Astyanax mexicanus: one gene and its partner. Each later gene encodes a partner of the first gene's protein in a complex. Links are inferred from orthologs where the notes say so. Each region holds a gene or a part of one and is shown on either strand. Other genes may lie near its edges.

The links.
Region 2: the proteins of vegfc (region 1) and flt4 are in contact, whole or in part, in a crystal structure (PDB 4BSK), measured with the Homo sapiens proteins. The link is inferred for Astyanax mexicanus from reciprocal best matches to the Homo sapiens genes VEGFC and FLT4. Residues at the interface, in NP_005420.1 of Homo sapiens: Leu119, Asp123, Trp126, Gln130, Asn167, Arg210; in NP_891555.2 of Homo sapiens: Gln172, His199, Asp200, Ala201, Leu202, Tyr203.

The regions. Positions count from the first base shown.
Region 1 is NC_064414.1:53,085,402-53,092,781, reverse strand, and holds the start of vegfc (vascular endothelial growth factor C), read left to right. Parts: upstream 1-4,289; 5' UTR 4,290-4,785; coding exon 4,786-4,902; intron 4,903-7,380. UniProt on the Homo sapiens protein: Growth factor active in angiogenesis, and endothelial cell growth, stimulating their proliferation and migration and also has effects on the permeability of blood vessels.
Region 2 is NC_064417.1:66,103-73,686, forward strand, and holds the start of flt4 (vascular endothelial growth factor receptor 3), read left to right. Parts: upstream 1-4,436; 5' UTR 4,437-4,687; coding exon 4,688-4,745; intron 4,746-7,584. UniProt on the Homo sapiens protein: Tyrosine-protein kinase that acts as a cell-surface receptor for VEGFC and VEGFD, and plays an essential role in adult lymphangiogenesis and in the development of the vascular network and the cardiovascular system during embryonic development.

The DNA of each region.
Region 1 (7,380 bases):
AAATCACTGTATCATAAAGTAAAGTTAAGTCAAGTCAAGTCAAGTCAAGAGGCTTTTATTGTCATTACATCTGAGTACAGGTACACAGTGTGATGAAATTACGTTCCTCCGGAACCATGGTGCAACATAGAACCACAAGCAATAGACAACATAAAGTGCAGGAGTGACGACAGTGCAACATAAAATTATAAAATGATAACACTAAATAACAATAAATACAATAAATAGAAGGACGAGACAATTTAAAGACAGGACAGTGCAGTACCGATACGGTATAATAAGTGTATAGTGGGGATAAGGTGCAGAGATGTGTGACATACTGTAACATATAGAACATATATAATCACAGCAGTTACTGAGGTAGAGTTTATAGTTTTTAAGAGTGCAGCAAATAAAGTCATGTCAGCCTCTGTGTGCTGACTGGGTGTGTGTGTGTGTGAAGTTCAGTTCTTTGTGAGTGTAAAGGGGGGGGGGTGTACAGTTTAGTTTTGTGTAAAGGGGGGGGTGTACAGTTTAGTTTTGTGCGAGTGTGTTGGGTGAGTGGTGGGTGGGGTGGGGGTTCAGTTCTGTCTCTGTGTGTTGAGAAGTCTGACTGCCTGGTGGATGAAGCTGTTGCAGAGTCTAGTAGTGGAGGCTCGGATGCTCCTGTATCTTCTGCCGGACGGCATCAGAGCGAAGAGTCCGTGTGAGGGATGGGTGGGGTCGTCCACAATGCTGGTGGCTTTGCGGATGCAGCGTGTGGTGTAGATCTCAGTGATGGATAAGTTAAGGTAATGATACGAGATTAGATATATTTTGTATATATATATTTTTTTGTATTTTTAATGCTTACATGCAAACAATAGACAACATAAAGTGCAGGATTAACGACTATCCGCCGTTTACGACTATTAATTGATATTTACACGTGTGTATCACTCAGACAAAGAATTACAGTGAGTTGTAGATGAAGATGAACTGAAGGCGCACTGGTGGAAAGAAGCATATATTGGATGGGTAGCACAACTCGATGGAACACCGGTAGCACCTAGCCCCTACACGGATCTCCTTATCTACAATATTGGACACCTATAATAGTATAATAAATTATATGCTTTATTTAACAATAAGATAAACAAACAGTCTAATGAAGGCTTAAATGATAGAAGGTTAAGTCAGCACGGAGCTAAGGCGCTAACTTGGCTAGCCTAAACTACAGAACTGTAGATTTTTGGTCATTTACCTTCATAATCAAAAATAAACTGCTCGAAAAAGAACTTATATGCCTTAATGAGTTTCACTCGTTTGTTCCTTGATAGGTCCCTGACGGTTCTGGCAACATCGTCCTGCTTAAAGTGCGGAAAAAGAATAAAGAGGAATAATAAAACTCTTCATTTTTGTAGCGGTGCTTCAAACCGGAAATAGGTTTACCCATCAGCTCGTCCAGAACTTGACCCCTCTAATTGCTAACGACAGGGTTGGCATGCAGAGCCCAAATCATGCACATTACGTCACTGTCCAAATAATTATGGGCCTAAACTGTATGTGCTTAACTCACATGTAGAGTTTTCTGCCAGTCACAATAGTGCATAATAGTGCTTTAGTGTATCAGATAAGCCAAACATCCAGCATTAGCCAGGCTACCGTGATCATAAACAGTGATTTTACAGCTCGTGGTCCGACGTCACTTCTCCTCACTGCATGATATTCTGTACTGCACTGCTCTCCTGCCATGTGTCTTCTATTATCAGATGTTTTATGTAAGCTTTTCATGGAAAATTCTTCCCGGTGTTCCGCAGAGGGATACCGTTATTTGGCTGCTCAGCTACGCCAGAGGAGCAGGTGAATTACACTGATGACCGAAGTCTAAAAAACAAGCTCTCCTGCTCAATTAGGCCATTAGTCTGAGTACATAATGTGCTTGACACCGCATGGCCGCTCTTTTCCTCCAGCCGGCCTCGCGTTGACCACGGAGTTAAGAGCCTCAGACAGCTGTGAAAGAAACACTATGGTAGGAAAATCCCTCACAGCGGACCTGCATTCCTCTGCATTACAAGAGCCCTCGGTGAACTTCAGCTCTGACGGCTGAGAGACCCCCTGTAGAGAAGCGGCCCTCCAAACCAATTATTTACCCACCTCTCAGAGCTGGAGCTCCGTCCGGCTCCTCCATCCCCACCAGAGACACATCACACACACACACACACACACACACACGTCTGTCATCGGTTCGTAGCGTGAAGTTCAGCAGCGCTTGATGATGCAGAGCGTGTACTACACTTCACTTGGGGGCAGTTGAATTTTAAGAGCCTACTGTGTTGTTTTGCCTCGGTGGGAGTTGAGGTTCGTAGCGATGCTATGAACACTATAAATATGAATGCTTTATGAATGTATTATTACGTATACATTATTTTAGACTACATAATCGACTATACTTGTGAAAATAAAGGTGCTTTAATTCTTCTGTTACATTAGGCTTTAGGGAACATCAGTGACCTTTCTCGGTCAGATTGTCCTGTGTTTAACCATGTTTAACAATCCAAACATAAACATCCTATTTAGCTTAACTAATATTGTGTATAGTAAATGTTTGCACACCATACAGATTATGTTTCACCTATGATACATAAGTACGTAATCAAATAAAAAAAAAATCAGTTTTGGTGTATTTATTAAACTATAACATACGATATAACTGGTTCTTTAAACAATGCCATAGAGGAACCAGTTTTGGCTCCCTGAAGAACCACACAGGAAATTTGGCAGTGTTAAATCAACACTGTTAGTGTTAAATTAACACTGAGAGTGTAAAGTTTAACACTAATAAGTAAGTAAGTGTTGATTTAACACTAACAGTGTTGTTTTAACACTGCCAAATTTCCTGTGCATGATTTTATTCAAGATGTTTAAGTAAGAGTACATTTTAAATTAATTAAGACACATCAAGTGAAAGCTCTTTAGAGTGTTTATTTGTTTTTGGAGTGTAATTAAGAAACTGGTGTAGGGTTAAACTAACCAAAATGCCCTGTGAAGCAATTAGGTGCTCTTATCTTGACTGCTGTTTTTAACTTGCAAATTTTGCGGCTGGTAACTCTGATTAACTTATCCTGTGCAACAGAGGAAACTCTTGCTCTTCCTTTCCTGGGGTGGTCCTGATGAGGGCCAGTTTAATCATTATACAGTTTTTGATGGTCTTTTTTGCGACTGCACTTGCTATCAATACTATCAATGTCTCGAATTGACTGACCTTCTTTTCTGTACTTCTGAACTGTAGTTGTTGCTTCTCATAATATGTATTAGAACATTACTCAAATATTCACTATTCACTGTATACCTGTAACTCTACCTCTTCACTACTTTACTTTAATTGATGCTCTCAAACACATTAAAGCCCTATCAAGATGGGATTATTTTCTCAGGGGGACATGTGTTATATTTCACACTTCTACTCAGTAATAAAACTGTTATCCAGCTCGAAGTAGCTCAACACCTCCTTGCTAGAATCCATATATACATAGATTCCGCATAGCCTACCTCCTGGCGCTGCTGGCTGCTACGCTTTGTGGAGTCTATGTGTATATACAGTATATATATATATATATGTGTGTGTCTGTTATTATCAGTACAGTGATGGCAGAGTTCAGAGCTGAAGCTAGTGTTATAGGATGTAAACAAAGGTTTTTAATAAGCTTCTTGTTGAGGTGTGGGGCTACTTTGAGCTGGATAACGGTGGAAAAAGTGATTTATCAGGGAAAATTATGCCCCGTGTCACGCAATCTGAAGGGTGTTTGGACAAACTGTTAACATTTCTGTTAACATCTCGGAACGCTGTGGGAGAACAGAGGTGTGCTATTCATCAAAGTACTTGTACTTGTATCATGTTTTATCATGATATGAGAGTTCTCCTTTAACTGAAAGCCATTTCAGATTACAGACTACCTCGCTGACAGAGAAAAGTCTGAGATGTACAAAGCTATCATATATTGCAGGTTCTAATGCTTGCTCTAGTAATCTTGACCTCCACAGTTCCCCTGAACTTCCATATGTAACAACAGTGCACACTGTAAAGATATGGATGAAGTGAGATAAACTATTAACCCAAGCCAAACTTACTTTAGGCTAAACTATAGTAGAACTAGTAGAATGTATTGACTGATAATGCTGTGTACAAATACAGTGTGTGTAAAAAATCCTGTGCAAAAAAAGTCTTGTGTGTGTGTATATGTGTGTGTGTATTTGTGTGTGTATGGGGGGGTGGGGTGATGTTCAGGAGGGAGGAGGGAGGAGGAGGAGGAGGGTGCGCGTGCCTCCTCCACTCCTACTGCTCTGAGCCAGACGGCTCGCGCTGTGTGTGAAAGTTGCATCAATTCCAGTCTGAGGAGAAAAAAGAGAAGCAGAAAAAAAGAGAAGAGGAGAGGAGAGGCGGAGGGGGAGGAGAGGCAGAGCCGCAGTGTGACAGCCTGAACCCGCGCTCAACATGCCATTCAGCCCGCCGAGCACATCCAGCTCCGCCGCTGCAGCTCCAGCCGCTCCCGCGCAACTTTCCCGCGAGCGCCGCGCGTGAGAGCGATTCAAACGATTAAAAAAGTAACGGTCAGTAACGGTTTTTAACGGTCAGCGCAGCGCGCGGACGCGTTTCTGGAGCTTTCTGCTGCTAAAATACTGGATATTCTCACTGATTTCTCCTGAAAAAGAGCCGCAGACTGAGGAGAAAGAGGAGGAAGAGGAGGAGGAGGAGAAGTGTAGACCTGCTGCTGAGACAGTGGTCGGTTTCCCGTCCGGACTTTGTGAGATCTCCCGCTTTAAAAAATGAACTTTTTTGGATTAAGTGTGTTGCTCGCCTATTCGCCTTTCCTCTACACCAACCTCGCCTTCCAGTCCAGCCAAGATTACTACGATTACGACCCGGACCAAGGAGATGCCCTGGTAAGTTTCAGCTGAAGAACTAACTGCATGATCTGAAGCTCTCAGGAGGAAACCCTGTAAAGAAGCCAATGACAACATCTTTCAACGTGTGTTTTTAACCTAAACGTCATGTATCTAATGCAATGTGTAGTAAGTAGAAGGCAGGTTAAAACAGTAAACACCAGGATAAAACTAGTGTAATGTCTGATGTCAGGTTAAACTTGGTAGATAAAAGGCATGTTAATAGAGTAAAAAACATGATAAAAGTTGTTCTTTGCTCAGTCTGGTTGTAATAAATTAGTAGGGAAAAAACGTGGATGTTGGGTTTGGAGACAGTTTGGTGTAACAGGTGTGAATATTTAGGAAGCATAAGAAAAGGTCTGCGGAGGAAACCAGTGAACAAGTCAATGGCAACATCTTTCAATGTTTGTTTTCAACCAAAACTTCATATTTCAGGTTTAACTAACATGTAACACCAGGGTAAAAAGTAGTGCTTTGGTGCTCTGGTTGTACTCAGCTTGTGGCAAAATAGCTTGGACGTTGGGGTTTGGAGACTGGCTGGTTTGACAGGTGTGAATGTTAGGAAGCATAAGAAAAGGTCTGAGGAAGAAACCAAGTGAAAAAGTCAATGACAACATCTTTCAATGTTTGTCATCTTTCATGTAATACACTGTGTGGTAAGTAGTAGGCAGGTTAAATAGTAAACACCAGGATTAGCATATGTATTATATGTAATATCACTTGGTATAATAACAATAGCAACATCATTCTCTTTCACTGTTTAATCAAATAAACTACAATAATAATTATTATTATTAAATAACAAGCATTGCTTGGAATATAAATGTTATGTTAACATAGTAAAAACAATTGCAAAAGTAGTTTCTGTGCAGTCTAGTTGTGTTAAATTAGTAGGAAAAAAAGCTTGGATGTTGGGTTTGGAGACTCTTTGGTTTGACAGGTGTGAATATGAGGAATAATTTTTAGAAAAGGTCTCAGGAAAGTAGGAGTTATTAATTTAGTGTAAAATCTCTTTGACAGGTTTTAAAGAAGACTGGTGGGTTTGGCAGTTGGCATGATAACCCAAACTCATCCTCTTTTATTTTTCATTCCATTGTGCAATAATCCATAATTCAGATTAAATGTTTGCATTGTTTGGCAAGTGAACATATTAACGTGGTAATCTCCAGGATGAAAGTAGTTTTTGTGCAGTCTGGGGATATCAAATAAGTGGGAGAATAGGTTGGACATTGGGATTGCTGACTGTTTGGTTTGACAGGTGTGAATATGAGAAGGAATTATTAGAAAAAGTCTAAGGAGAAACCCAGTGAACAAGTCAATGGCAACATCTTTTAATGTCTGTTTTCAGGTTTCAGGTTGATCCAATATAATTTAATGCATGACCTGTTAAGTAGAAGGCAGGTTAGGGCAGTCAGCGCCAGGGTAATTATTTTGGAAAGAAAACTGTTTTGGGCAGTCGGGTGGTTTTACATTAGTGAGAGAAATGGCTTACACTTTGGTTTTGGAGACTGTAGGGTTTGACTGTATAATTGGGAAAGCTCTGAGGAGGAAGGCTAGTTTTTATTCCAAACCAGTTGAAGAAAAATGTCAAATGTAATGTAAAAGGAGTGTCAAGGGTTAGAGGAATGATTGGGAAATGGAAGAAAAGAAAGACCAACAAGGATTACAATGTCAGCTTGTCTTAGTACATGTGTTTCTTTGGTAAATGGAAGGCAGGTTAGAACAGTAAAATAATTATATGAGCAGTCTGGATATATTAACTTTGGTTTTAAAGAATGTTGTGTTTAAAAGATTGGAAAAGGTGTAAGAAGGAAGGTCAATGGCAGTCCCAAAAGCATTTTTTTTACTATCTAATATAATTGCATGTATTGTCTGGTAAACAGAAGACAGGCAGTCTGTTGGTATACATTCTGTGGAAAAAATGCCTTTGGCTTTGGCTTTGGAAACTATTGGGTTTGACTGGGGTGAATATGACTGCATGAGTGTTTGGAGATTTGGAGATGAGATCGGTACACATTAGGACGTTTAGCTGACTTTGGGTTTTGGTCACCAAACTGCAAAACTAAATGTTGGTATTTTATTTTAGTATGACATTAGCATGTAATGTTTAGAATACTTAAAACCAACTGTCATCACTCTTGTTAGTAAATTTGACATTTAATTTTGGTCATCCTGTGTCACAAACTACATTTGGCCAGATGACAAGATCTATCCATGCTTTTGTTTAACTACGGTGGTGTAAATTTAATGAGAAGAGGCTTTTGTTTTGGAGAGTGTTGGAAACTTGAAGGAATATGTGACTAGTTCAGTGTAGCCATTAAAGCAGATGTCATTGGGTCACAAAGTATGAGGATGTGTGTGTGTGTGTGTGTGAGTTAGGGGGATTATGAGCTGCTCAGCAGTAAAATGACAGATAATCTCAAACACGTGGCCATTTGATCATGCGATACTCTTAATTGGCTGGATTAAAGTTGCTAC
Region 2 (7,584 bases), on another chromosome or scaffold:
TAAATTCGTACAGTGCCACTGAATTCCCCATCATTATTTTTATTTAAACATAACTAATTAAACAACTGGTACAAAACTATACATTGAATAAAACTCATAAAGCAAAATTTAGCAGCAGCAGCTAAATAATAATTAGCATTTTTGTGCTGTTCTGTTTTTCTTCTGTTCTGTTTAGAAAGTGCTGATGATCAGCTGACAATGTGCAAAGTTGTCAGTCTTATTGAGCACAGTGTGAAATGGGAGGATCACAAATTTAACACACACCTGATTCATTCAGGTAACTTCCTGTGATGTATTTTTATTGTTGGATTTCTAATAATGTTTATATAATATTTATAGTTTGGACACTGAGTGTATGAAATAATTTTTCACTCATACTTTTAATATTTAATAAAATATATGAACTGTACTTTTACTGTTATAACATTACAGTTAATGGACAAACTGATGCAGTGTGAAAATCTTTCTTTAGGCTTAGGTGTGTTTTAGCAGAAGGTGTCGGGAGTCGGACTCTGGCTGTGAGATTTATTTCTTTATTTCTATTGATCAGAAATTAATGGCATCCATATTTTCTGCAGTCGTTGGTAATGATTAGTGTCTAGTCTAATCCATTTTCACCATTATTACCTTTCAGATCACACACCCTGAACTACTGAAAGGGGTAAACATGGTTACAGGCATCATCAGTTTGTTTTTTGCTGTAAATCTCTTTTATCTAAGAGTAAAAAAAAAACTTACAGATATTTCTTTTATCTCTTTTTTCTTTCCCTCTCCTTCATTCCCAACTCAAAAGAAGACCCTGCTCAGGTTAATTGGAGGAGTCTTTAAGGTTTCCTCCAAATGGGAAATAAACTTTTTTTCTGTTCATAGAAAGTAAATATGTTGTCGTCTGCAATCTGTGAAAATGACTATATCTAATAATTGCCAATTAGGAGAGCTAGACATGCATCACTTTCAGATGGGCAGCGTTGAACAGTTTGAACAGTAGATATGTCTGAAAAACAGAATATGTTGATCTAAAATTTTTATATACTTTTCTGCATTAATGCTGTCCCCACATAAATGTACTGTGACACAACCTCATACTATAACAGATTGTAGCTTTTTGGACTTGCTGTTGATACATCTGAATGTTCCTTCTTGTCTTTAGTCTGAAACACGCAATATCCACTTCTTCCAATAAAAAATACTGATTAAACTGAACACAATAAATATTTCTATTCTTTGATGGTCAGTCTCAGGATCCTCCAAGCCTAAAGATGTTGACGACATTTCTTGGCTTGGTTTAGGTAAAGCTTGTGTTTTGGACAGTGAAGTTTAGGTGGTGTTTGTAAATGTAACTCTGGATAAATGTTTGCCAAAAGGAATTGCTTGCTTTGTTGTATCGGCTGTTGACTGGGGGTTCTTGATGCAGAGCCATCTGAGGAATCTGAGACAGAAATATGACAAACAATGAACAAACAATGAATAACAAACAGCAACCTAACCTACAAGTGTACTTAGACTTTGCATTAACACCTACGCTATTCACACACACACAGACGCACACATGGACATAAACTTGCAACTTCAATGCAGCATGTGTTGATCTATTGCAGAAGCAATAAATACAATTGAAGAAGAAATCCATTTCACCTTCTCACTAAACAAACAACTTCACTAGAGTTCACTAGAGACCTAACTGTGTTCACCTGGTCTTGGTTTAGTTGTGTGTTATTACTGTATTCACACCTACCAAAATGAATCAAATTTGTCATTTTGTAACTTACGTAAAATTATATATTTTTATGTGGCAGCAGGGAGGCCGGACTATAAAACATTTTTACAGATTTTTTTACATTGTACTTTGAAGCCTATGTCTTTTCTTATTGTTCTGTAAAATCAGTGTCCAGTTTGAGTTTCCATGTACTTTTCATTTTACCAAGAAAATGTAGCTCTAAAGCCCGAGCTAAATCTTGAAAGTAAGAGATTTCTCATTGAAGTTGAGAGTTAAATGGTCCTCTCATTGCTGATTAGACGGAAGATAGGTATAATCTGTAAAATGAAAGATTGGATGTCTGTGATCATCTGCCTCCTAATGATGGTATCGATAGCTCAGAACGTCAGACACCTATAATAAAAATAATAGTTCTTTTGGTGACCCCACTGCCTACAATTGCAATTCTTATTTGAACATGAAAACAGGAGATCACTGGGTGTGTAGGTTTTTTTTTTGTGTGGGGGCAATAAATAGCCAAGGCGTGTTATAAGGTATAAGTCAAGAGAACCTGAATGAATGCATTTAAAAATGTCCATTTAGGGGACGAAATCCTGTCTTTTAACAAGGCCCTGAAAATAAGTAAATCTGCCCAGCATATTCTGAACACTGCTTTTCAAAACAAATCATGGGCTGACTACAAGTAGTTAATTTGTGTATTCTCAGTACGTATTCCCAGTACTTGTATTCCATTACAATCCAACCCAGCAGATGGCGAAGTGTCAAATTTTTTTTCTGGGCCAGCTGTTGGTAAATGCAATTCAAGACATACAGCCAAAACTCGAGAGGTATAATGGTTGGGACCTGATGACAGTTGGGGCCAATAACAGGAATCATCTTTTTTCTGTATGACATTTGTAAGTAGAGCAGTATTTCAAGCTGAATTAAACTGTGGTTTTGTCAGCACAGCTGCTGTACATGGTCTGGGAGTTTAGTATCATGGTTGTTTTCCCAAGAGTATTTGGCTTTTCAGAGCAATATGGGATTAATATTTAGAAGTAGGCCTTTTTTAAAAGTATGTCTTGATGGAATGGAATAGTTTCCAAGAATCTGAGAAAAAACAGGAGCAGGGAAATGGAAAGAAAAGAAAGCTCTTGATTTGAAGGTTCCTTAACAAATACCCTTCTGGCAATGCTAATTGTGTCTGTCAAAGAGTCTCAGATGTATTAGATTAAGTGGCAATATTGCATTACATTTTATGACCTAAGTGTTTATAACACAGCTTTGTATAGGAGACTTTTGGAGTTCTGCTGCAGGGCAATTGTCTATTAGGCAAATGTAGCAACCATTATCTGTACAAATAGGATTTTCTTTATATATTTGTCCTTTATGGAGGTGCCAGGATACGTTCTTATTTCTGAAATGGAGGCATTTCAGATCTGTTAGAACAACATATGCAGAATAAACCACAAGACACTGATTAAGGCATGTAGCTTTAGGGGAGATAGAAATCTTAGATTTAAGAGTTTCTCACTGTGGCTAAGCAATCACTGGTCTTGAAAACAAGCTTTTTTGGTAAATGTGGGTTAAAAAGAAATACATTGATATGCATTGCTGGTTTGTTGTGGCCGTGTTTGCGGACGGTGTGTTAGTGATGTTCAAATATGAAAATATACTCCCATCTAAATTATCTAAACTGGTTAGTTTTTGCCCATGGTGGTTTGTACAAAAATATTTATCACAAAATATGAGACTATTGCGATTTAAAAATATGACTTCTACACCTCAAATGCACTGAATATCTGTAGTATTCTATGATTAAGATACATGTAGCCCTAAGTTTAGCATGGCTAATGGGATACACTGTTAAGATATAGTGTCAAGTCATTCAAGCTATAATAGAAACTTAACACATTAATTATAGTACAACAAAACGATACAAAAATATTCCTAACTTTATATGAAAAAAATATAACAAGATTTTCTGTAATACAATTCAATATTAATCCAAAACTATCCGATTCTTTGTATTGATGCATCCAATGTGCTAATATTAGGCTCATATAAAGGTTCAGTATTTAATATTTTGATATACTCTTTATCAAATTTTCAGTCCATTGGGAACATTTCAGCACTGAAATTAAAGACAGGTGTAGCTGACAATTTTTGGAGGAAAGGCTGATCTGATGGTCAGTAAAACAATCCACAAAATCGGTTTCTGACTAATCAGTCAGTCTGACTAATCAATCAAGTAAATTTGAATTGAGTTTATCAGAGAGAGTTTATCTGAGGTATTTTATTTGAGGTAGTTTATCTGAGGGAGTTTATCTGAGGCAGTTTATCTGAGGGAGTTTATCTGAGAGAGTTTATCTGAGAGAGTTTATCTGAGAGAGTTTATCTGAGGGGGGTTTTCTGAGGTAGTTTATCTGAGGGAGTTTATCAGAGAGAGTTTATCTAAGGGAGTTTATCTGAGGGAGTTTATCTGAGAGAGTTTATCTGAGGGAGTTTATCAGAGAGAGTTTATCTAAGGGAGTTTATCTGAGGGAGTTTATCTGAGGGAGTTTATCTGAGAGAGTTTATCTAAGAGAGTTTATCTGAGGAAGTTTATCTGGTGTATTTTATTTGAGGTAGTTTATCTGAGGGAGTTTATCTGATGTATTTTATTTGAGGTAGTTAATCTGAGGGAGTTTATCTGAGGGAAGTTGGTCTGAGGAGGAGACTTCTACCCTGAAGGTCCGAGTCTGAGCCGCTGCCCTCAGATCGGTTTATGCAGGAGGTGGGAGTTGAGTCCGGGAGGGAGGAAAGGGGGGAAATGATAGTAAATCCACTCAGGTCCTCTTGAATTTCGTGTTTCTGCGTGTTTTTACTCCGCTGTTTCTCCCGCTCTTCCCGCGCCGAGGAGAGAGAGGCGCGCGACACCTGAACCTGAGGAGTTTCCCGCGCCGCGCGGAGAAAACCCGCGAGTTTAAATTGAGGAGATTAAATCCGGAGATGAAGAGAGAGAGCCGGGTTTTCTGTGGGATTTGGATCGGGCTCGCCTCTTTCTCAGGTGAGAAACTTTACCTAGATAACTCTCAACACAGGCTGCAGATAACCGCTGTGTGTATGTGTGTGTGTGTGTGGTCAGTATGTTTTTTTCGCGTTTTTACTGAATTTTCTCATTAATGTTGCTTTTTTCAAGAAATAGTGAGCTTCTGTGTAAAATTCAGTAATTCAGAAATGTAGACTCTGGTCTATTTTACAGTTTTAGAGTTTAACTACAGAGATGTTTAAAAGTGGGAACCCTTTAAATATTTGCCACTTCTAAAAGTGCTGAAAGAAAACAAAGATAATAAACATTCAAAAATAAGGCAGAAATATTAGATAGAAATATTAAACTTTTAGTCAGATTATTTCTTAGGGTTGTTGTCTTGCTGCATGACCCACATTCTTAGCTCAGGTGTTCTGACTTTTTCCTTCAGAACTGGCTTTAGTCCAAATCCACTGTTACATAAATGATAAGAGGCCATCCTTGCCCAAAGACCCAATCCATAACACTACCACCACTGTGTTTCACAGATGGATAAGTTTTCTTTTTTTAAATTTTGGGATGCAGCAATTTTATATGGATGAAAATTCTCCTTTAGTTGCTTGGAAGGTACAATGGGTTAATTTATAGACAATTCATAACATTTTGTCTGATTTGTTTGATTTGGATCTTTTTACCTCATTTTAGGACTTGTTTTAAGAAAATCTGTAGAAGTTGTAGGTTAAATTATGCAAAAATATAAAACACTCAAAAAGGTCGGGCACCACTATATTCTGAATGAATCAGTAGTCAATAAGAGTATATTTCACTTAGATTTGAGTCGATTGAATCCTATTAAATTAATATTTATAAGGTGAAATTGATAAACCATTTTTTACATTAACTTGTCACTCAGAGATAAAAGTTGTCATGGACTGCAGCTTAATGCCACACAAAAAACTGATTTGGGCAGCAGTCCATCATTATTAACTAGTGCAGCATCTCAGTAGCAGTAGACAGTTTGTTGTTATTGGACACTGGTGCACTGGCCACAGTTTATGAGATGTCATTGCTAATATTAAAGGTAATTTGAGATTGAATGCAGCTCATATGCTTCCCTCCTAAGCTTAGCAAGCTGCCATACTTAACAACCAAAATCTTTGCTTGCATACTTGCGGGCATATATATTGGGAACCTAGCCATCTATGTGATGGTCCAGAGAAGAGGATGAATGAATATTTGGATCCACAGAGCATCTTCTCTGTCTATGTTTATCTTTAAATTAATCTAACAATTATGGTAACAAGCCACAAAAGCCTTTAGATGATTAAGGATAATGGAGTAGATTTCATCAGATTGTGCAGCTTTAAAGGTGAAGTAGATTGGTTAGAGCATGGCATGTTAAGCACTGTCAGGAAGGCCTACCTGAAAGTCTGCAAGTCAAGCATCCATGTCAGATCCACTTGTCAATTTGACAAGTTTTGGCAGCAGCAGTCACACTTTAATTTAAAATGCTCTTTTCAACAGAACAGCACTTGGTCTGCTAAAGTCATCAGTTACCGACAACAGGAAAACAGCCCTAATACAGCCTTTATTCACTTTTCACCTCATTAGTGACTTTATTGTTCTTTCAAGAAATTATAATTGGCTTCTGTTACATAAGGGATCACTCTGTTCAAGCTGACTTTGGGTTATATGTCAGTTCTGTTCATTATGATAATCATGCATGAGTGTTTTTAATTGCAGTATTTTCATCTGCATGATAGCCCACCTCTGTGAGGAATATGATGTCTGCCAGTCATAATATCTAGAGGACCATTTAAGATGACAAAAGCCACAGAATCTGAGGAATCAAAACATGGGAATATTCTTATAGCAAACTCAAGCATTCTGAAGGATGTGGTGCTCTAGTGTTTGGTATGGAAGGTTCATCTCAATTAATTTTGAGTAAAAATTAAGCTAAGAAAGCAGCCGTCATCACAGGTGTCAGTTAGTGAGATCCATGAGGCATCTGAGGAGAACTTGAAGTGTTGCTGAGGCGTTTTCCAGAATCCCTGCACCTTGGGTGGAGTCTTATGTGAAAATATGTCCTCCCTTAACATTTGGAATCCAGAGCCATAAAAACCCCAGATATATGTCTCTCCCTTAAACTCCATAATCTTCATCTCCACAAATAAATAACACATGGAATCTTGGTGGCGCAGGGAATTTGCCTAGGCTACCAAGATTTTCTTGTAGTGAAGACTGGGTCCAATTATTAGAAGTGGTCCCCAATTATTTAACCGAGCACTAACCTTAACTGAGGCAAAAATGGGAAAATTGCAGCTTGGAGGGACAAAAGAGATGATTGTTATTTAATCAGAAACAAAAGCCTGTTCAACAGAAAAGAGCCTAGGGCTGCAGAAGAAGTTGTCCACATTTATTGATTTCAAGTAAGCCTGAGTTGTCCTTTAATGCAATTTCCTCAAATGGGCAACATTTAGCCCCTGAGCTGGCTGATATTACATTTCTACCATTTTAGTTTTGTTTGGTTTCTAAAATCATCCTCAAAATCAAACAGCGCAGGGAACTGCTGCAATAAACATGGTAATCGAAAAAAAAAACATGTAAAAACACTCACAGCAATGAATCTCCTACATGAAAGTTGGAGTAGATATTTATCTTAAGTCTCAGAAGGAAAATCCTCCACTTGTCCCTTTCGTCGAACGGCTCACTCACTGCAATGTGTTTTATGTTACCATACTGGTGATTAAAAACAGATTGAGAGTTACTTGGTGAGGTTCCGGGGGTGCGTTTGAAGTGAGAATGTCATTATCAGGCTGAGAGACTGGGGAATCTCTTAGTTTTAAATATAATCTACTGTAGTGTGCTCTGAGTGGTG